2 linked regions of the Caenorhabditis elegans genome follow. The protein of the gene in region 1 interacts with the protein of each later gene in a pairwise test. Each region holds a gene or a part of one and is shown on either strand. Other genes may lie near its edges.

The links. The genes of interacting proteins can lie anywhere in the genome.
Region 2: the proteins of M01F1.4 (region 1) and far-2 interact in a two-hybrid assay, tested with the Caenorhabditis elegans proteins (one large-scale study listed by BioGRID).

The regions. Positions count from the first base shown.
Region 1 is NC_003281.10:3,508,213-3,511,967, reverse strand, and holds the start of M01F1.4 (Transmembrane protein 245), read left to right. Parts: upstream 1-1,934; 5' UTR 1,935-2,050; coding exon 2,051-2,053; intron 2,054-2,124; coding exon 2,125-2,223; intron 2,224-2,292; coding exon 2,293-2,425; intron 2,426-2,483; coding exon 2,484-2,847; intron 2,848-2,906; coding exon 2,907-3,124; intron 3,125-3,568; coding exon 3,569-3,755. Other genes in the region: Proton myo-inositol cotransporter hmit-1.3, read left to right, coding at 550-911; mrpl-35 (Large ribosomal subunit protein bL35m), read right to left, coding at 1,047-1,247, 1,348-1,465, 1,566-1,723.
Region 2 is NC_003281.10:9,079,789-9,083,127, reverse strand, and holds far-2 (Fatty-acid and retinol-binding protein 2), read right to left. Parts: upstream 1,301-3,339; 5' UTR 1,299-1,300; coding exon 791-1,298; intron 719-790; coding exon 678-718; 3' UTR 617-677; downstream 1-616. Other genes in the region: far-1 (Fatty-acid and retinol-binding protein 1), read left to right, coding at 1,951-2,166, 2,220-2,425, 2,474-2,559, 2,615-2,655. UniProt on the Caenorhabditis elegans protein: Probably binds lipids.

The DNA of each region.
Region 1 (3,755 bases):
CGTCGCCATATTATTGCACTCAAAAGCGAAAGTTTGGGTCTTGACGCGACAAATTCGTGTTAAACGCAAAAAGGTGTGCGCCTTTAAAGCGTACTGTAGAATTTTTAACGATTTTTCATACTCAATTATTTACTCGACGATGGTATTTGTTTTTATTAAAAGACTATGAAAAACTACAAAAAAAATGGAAAAATTGAAAATTCCACATCAACAAAAATTTGAAGCTACAGTACTCTTTAAAGGCGCACGCCTTTTTTGCATTTAACATAAATTTGTCGTGTCGAGACCGAAGATAAAGTGGAAATGCGCTCCAACGCTAAAACCGAGAAATTCAAATTTTTCAATGCATTTCACACATTTTTAAAACTAGCTTTTACAAAAAAGTTATCGAAAAAATGCCTGAAAACGGCCAAAATGAGAGATAAGGCACGAATTTACGGCTTTGCCTCCAACTCCTACCGAGACCCAAATAGTTCGTTGGAGCGCGATTGCACTTCAAAACTTCAAACTTCAAAATGCTTAATAATTCATCAATTCACGTAATTCCAGGTTACGCCCCGCTACCATGGGTTCTAAACGCCGAATTTTATCCATTATGGGCGAGAAGTACAGCCGTATCGGTATCAACTGCATGCAATTGGATATTTAATTTAATAGTCTCACTGACATTCCTGTCACTTTCCCAGGCAGCAACAAAATATGGAACATTCTTCATTTATTGTGGATGCACCATGGTTGCTCTTGTATTCGTTTTCTTCTTTGTTCCAGAAACAAAAGGATATTCAATTGATGAAGTTGAGATGTTATTCATGACAAAAGAAGAGAGAAGGAAAGCTCAGAAAGTTCTGGATGAGAGTAAAGAAGGGAAGCATCGGAATTCTGTTGCAATGTCTTTTGATACTAAATTCTAATTGTTTTCCTAATTTGCAAGCTTTAATTACTGTTTAAACATGTTTCAACAGTTATTCATGTATAATATTTTGTAATTGTGAATAATAAACTATTTTTATATTCCTAAAAACAAAAAAAAATCCAACAAAAAAATTTCAACAATCTTTAAAAAAACGTTTCGACGTCGAGTCATCCATCAGCACCTTCTTCCTCTCACGAACGAAATTTCCACGATCATCGACACGTGGTGAGGTGACGTTATGGCGGACGTTATAGGCAGAATATGGATCATTTGGATAATGCTTTGGACGGAGCCAATATGGAGTCATCAGTTTGTCGAGAATTTCGCACTGTTCCTGAAAATTGAATCATTTTATGAAAAAGTTGGGGAAATTGACGAATTTGACGATGAATTTAGCTTTCTAATTCCTGAAAAAAAAACCCGAAAAATTGTACCTTGGTACAGGTCTCATAATAAAGACTAGTCTTCTGCCACGTTTCATCTTTCATATATCTCAGCTTATGACGTCCTGGATGCGCGTGAATCCACATTCCATTGTTTAGACGTTTGAATCTGAAAATTTTCAGTTTTAAAAATTAGTTTCGCATTTTTAAGTTCAAAAAATCAATAATTATTGAATTAAATTTTTTAATAAGCTAATAAATAGCGTTACCTGTCTAAAACATCTTGCGCCGGCCGTTTCCGTCCGACTTTCTGATCGAATCGAATGTGATACTCGTGAGCCGGAATATTGGCGATTCCACGGGCGGCCAATGTGATCGGAGCCTGTCTTGATGCACATAATGTGCTCAACGCCGTTTTTCCCAACATTTTTTTGGCTGAAAATAAAAAGTAAAGGTAAATTTCATGTGAAATTGAGAAAAAATCAGGAAAAAAATTGATACAAAATAAAAATTGAATTTTCAAAGCGACTACGGTCAGCATTCGGTGTATGCACACTTTTCTCTCGCGTCTCTCCATTTCACACACTCTCTCGTGGCGCAATTTTTTTTTTGAGAAAAAAGAAAACAATAAAGAGAGTAAACAACAAAGTTGGACAGAATTCTATATAATTTTTATTTATTTCGGGTTTTTTTCAGTGATATTTATCGTTTTCGTTATCGATTTTATTGCCGATCACTCGTTTTTCGTTGCGTCATGGTAATTTTATCTTTAAAAATCTAAGAAAACACATTTTATTTAAATTTTTTTATAAGATTTCAATATTTCAGATGTCCTCAGAAGGCATAGAGCGCTATTTTGGCGCCGGCGACAGTGAACAACGAACAGCACTTCAATTTGCGTTTTATAATGTGCTACTTTTTGTTTTGGTACGCTTTAAATTTTAAAAATTAATTTTTAAAATTCAATTAAATTAAATAAAATCTAAAAATTATCAGCTCGGAGTCTCATTATGTGGTCTGGCTGCTCTCTACAACATGATGTACATGTTTTTATCACCAATGCTCTGGGCGGTGCTCGTTGGTACAGTACTTTTCCCGTTCAAAAAGAAGGTCGCAGATACTGTTCAGCGTAAGTTTTCTGGCTAAATTAATTTCAAAATCTTTCAAATAAATTAAAAACTTTACAGATTGGCTAAGAAATCTTCAAAAATCGAATCAAACTCTCGCCAAATCAGTGATTACTCTCCCGTTCACCGGATTCTCCAAAATTTCTGAAAAAATCTACACAACCTTCGCCAGCCCGAATGGAGCTATAATTGTTATAGCCTATACTGCGTTGAAAATTCTTTCATATGAAAGAACTTTTATGTATATTATCAGCTGGATGGGACGACTCTACGGATATTTGGATTCTTTCATTGTTTTCTTTGCGAGACCCTGGGTTCTTCCACTGATTATCGTTTATTTCTGCTGCTACGCCGCCTGGATTTATGTTCAAAACCCGAAAGAGATTAATAAGAAGCTTGCAAGATCATTTTCTCTTCCCATTTGGTAAAAATTCCTAGTTTAAAAATGAAAACAATGAATTAATTTCTTGTTAAAAATTCCAGGATCTACGTAATTTCCTACGCTTCCCTGTATTTCGGACCTCTGAGAGCCGGTGTTTTTGGAGTTTCAGCTGCTGTCCTGGGAATGTTATCAGCCGGATTAATTGGAGGTCATAGACCAAGTGAAGAATTACTTGAGAAAGAAAATTCTTCTGAAAATCTAGATGAATCCATTCTTCCTCCAAACGTGGAGAAAGTTCTGGAAACTGCGAAAGAAAAATGTGAGTTTCTAGGAAACCGCAATTTCGGGTGAAAAACATTATTTTTGCATTTTAAAACCCTTTTTTTCTATTTAAAAGTGCCAAAAATGTAGAAAAAAAACATTAATTTTTGAATTTTTCGATCAAAAAAGCCGAAGCGTTGCGAAACCACGCGCGTAAATGAGTCGATGTCCCTTTAAGATTTGTGTAGATTTACGCTTGATTTTTAGGCAGAATTCTTGATTTTGGTTTATTTTTCTTGAATTAAACGCCTAGAATAGCTTATTTAAAGCCACTTTTTATCTAAAAATCAGTTATTTAAAATTTTTTGCAGGAAAAATTCTGAAAAATGGCCAAAAACTGTGCCGCAGGCTTACAAAACGACCGCCGGCATCTTTTTAATGTTAGAAATCTGTAAAAATTCAATTTTTTATTCTATTAATTTCTAATAATGTTAATTTTCAGTGGACGCAACAGAACAATCGCTTCTCGACAATTCCCTTCTCTCCACATCAACAGTAGACGAAGCTATCACTGGAGACTGGCTAATTCGTTGTGTTTTCGGTCTTTGTGCTCTTCTTTGGGTTGTACGTCATGATGGAGCCCTGATTCTTCTCGCAATTCCATTTGTATTGGCTGTAATCTCCAGAAC
Region 2 (3,339 bases), 5.6 Mb from region 1:
TTTTCTATCAAAAATGTTGAAGAATCGAATTCGAGGAGCATAAAGAATGAAAATCTGTTTTTTTTAATTGAAAATACCATGAAATTCAGTTAATTACAGAAAGCTCCAAAAATGATTGGAAAAAATTAAGCCGCCAGATGTCAAATGCTTTAACTTTTTTCAAAGAAGAGTTGATAACAAATTGTCAATAACAAAAACAAAGAAAACGTTATGACCTATATTTTGTATGTAGAAATTTTTTTTGCAAAACCTATTAGTTTTTGACTTATTCTCTTTTGGAAATTTTGAAAAATTATCAAGTTTTCCTACCTGCGCTTTTCAAACTTCAAAAAACTATGCAACTTGTCCTTCCAGTTTCTGAATTACGTTGTTGGCAAATAAGCTACCGTAACCCTGCACTTTGTACCCAATTCTTTCAACTGCTCAATGGACCTCGGAACCATATTGTTTACAATCACAACAACCACAACAAAACCCATAAACTTTGTGAAGACAACTCGAAAGTTTCGAAAATGTGCTTTACGTGAAGCCGACATGTGGTAGCCATTTGGGATTCATTTCACCGACCAAACTTCAATTCTTTCCATCTTTTCTAGAGAACAATCAATCGTTATTTGAATTAAAATACTTTATTTTGGGGGAAAATAATTGGAAAACCATATCATAATTATTACTTCTTAGTTGACGTATTGTCCGACGATGGCTTGAATCTTTTCGTCTGAAAATAATAAAATTATTGTTTGAATTAAACAATTTGAATGCTCAAAAATCTCAGAATTTTAAAACTCACTTTGGAAGAATCCAGTGAGGATTGGGAACTCAGCGGTGATGGTAGCCTTGGCGTCATCAGAAAGAGCCTTGTATTCAGCGATGTATCCCTTGGCGAGTTCCTTAAGAGAATCAAGAGTTGGCTTATCTCCGGCGAGGTATTGTTGGTGGAGTTCACGTCCCTTGGCGATGATCTTCTTGACAAGAGCCTGAGCGGTGGCATCGAGTTTCTCGAATTTAGCGGTGAGGAGAGCCTCGAGCTTTCCAGCCTTCTCGTAAAGGGATGGAGACTTTTCCTTGAGAGCAGCCTTGAATTCTTCCTCGGTCTTGTATTCCTTGTGGTTTTGGGCGAGTTCCTTAAGAGCAGCCTTCTCCTCAGCGGTGATGGCCTTGAGGTGCTCGGCAACTTCAGCTGGGATGAGTCCCTTGTACTCGGCTGGGATGTCGTCGAAGTTCTGTGGAACCTCTGGGATTGGGGCAGAGAAGACAGCCACGGAGGCAAGGGCTACGACGAGGAAGGCGCGGATCATTACTGCAATATTTTAAATTAGGGGTGGGAAATTTTAAGGTGAAATAGAAATAGAAGGTGATATCAAAGTTAAAGAACCAGTAAACTAGAAAAAAGAAACCATTTAGCAAAGTTTCGAAGTAGAAGATGAAGCTTTGAGCTGCTTCTGCTGTGCCGATTCTGCTCCGCCAGCCGATCTTTTATACGACCTTGGATGATGTATGTTTGAACCTCGTTTCATCAACGAAATAGTGCGTTGAACCATGAGAGTTCCGATGAAATATCACGTTCCCTTCGAGACGCAGACCTCATTTTTCCCTTATTTCTATTATAAAAAACCACTTTTAGTGTAATGAAGTTTAGGAAAAAATGTTTCTTTTTTCTATTTCTATTTCGATTCCCTTTGCTGCTGCTGATTCTTCGCAACTGCTCTATCTCACTGACTCCGCCCATTTGAATTGCTCATTTTCTGAGTCTCTCAAAGGACTACACTCTCGCTAGTTGATTGTAATTCTTCTGGGGTCACCATGTGGTCCGCCTCTTTTTGTTCGACTTTAAAAGATGCTCAGAACAATGGAAATCAACACTTCAGTCTCATTTCGCTTTCTTCTTCTTCTTATTCTTCTTCTTCTTCGTCACATCCCCGATTCTCATAATCTTTCAAATTTTCAGTAATGATCCGTGCCACTATCATCCTCGCCGCTGTCGCTGCCCTCGCCTTCTCTGCTCCAGTCCCGGAGGTCCCAGAGAACTATGACGATATCCCAGCTGAATACAAGTCCCTTATCCCAGCCGAGGTCTCCGAGCATCTTAAGTCCATCACCCCAGAAGAGAAGGCTATTCTTAAGGAGGTCGCCAAGGGATACAAGGACTTCAAGAGCGAGGATGATGTGAGTCTGAAAATTGAAAACTCTAGACCAATAATCAAAATATTAAATTGCAGTTCTTGAACGCCCTCAAGGAAAAGTCTCCAACTCTCCACGAGAAGGCCTCCAAGCTCCACCAAATCGTCAAGGACAAGGTCAACGCTCTCAATGATGAGGCTAAGGCTTTCGTCAAGAAGGCTATCGCTGAAGGACGTAAGATCCACGCTCAATACTTGGCCGGAGAGAAGCCATCCCTCGACACCCTCAAGACCACCGCCAAGACGTAAGTTTCGAGAAAATTACAAATTTCTCTGTCAGGATAACATTTCAGCCACATCGAAGCCTACAAGGGACTTTCCCAAGATGCCAAGGACTCCATCGCCAAGGAATTCCCAATCCTCACCGGATTCTTCAAGAGTGAGTTTAATAAACTTCTAATAATTTTCAATTTAATAATTATATTAATTTTCAGACGAGAAGGTTCAAGCCATGGTCGGACAATACCTCAACTAAATTTCCATTTCGCATTTTCTTTTTGTTTTTAATGTAATAAGCTTAATGGTTGGTTATTGGTTTTCTATAAACTTTGAATCGCAATAAAAACTTGATGCTTTCTGTAATGACTCATTAAATCAGTAGCAGTTGGTATCTCAAACAAATGATGCCCTCACAACAGTAGCATTCGGGCCTCTAAGATAAATTACTTTTAGTGAAAGAACTGATCGGAGACAATTGGAAAGATTTAACGGAGAAAAAAGTCTGCAAAGTCGATGCTTGAGACTTGTCAATTGGCCATTTAAAAAACTTGCACAGAAGTTGCTAGAGATTGGAATTTAAAAAAAACCTAAAAATCAAAGTCCCATCTTATTGCAAGCCTGTCAAAACTTATATTGTTTCAAGTACTCAAAATCAAATAGCATCCTTTCAATTAAGAAACATAACCATATTGATTTTAGGTACTTGGGATCAAATAGCGTTATTTCAGGTTCTAAACAGAGGAATTCACTGTGCTTTAAGGCAGTTGAAGCACTATCCATAATATCTGACATCCACCATCCAACGCTGAACGAGAATAAACGTTGATGCATCTTTGTTGTAGGACCCGAACGTTGACAATCCAGCAAAGAAGAGAATTCCGCCATCCATTCGATGAAGTGTCCAGCTTGTCCAAATGTTTTAAAATGACATAATGATGAA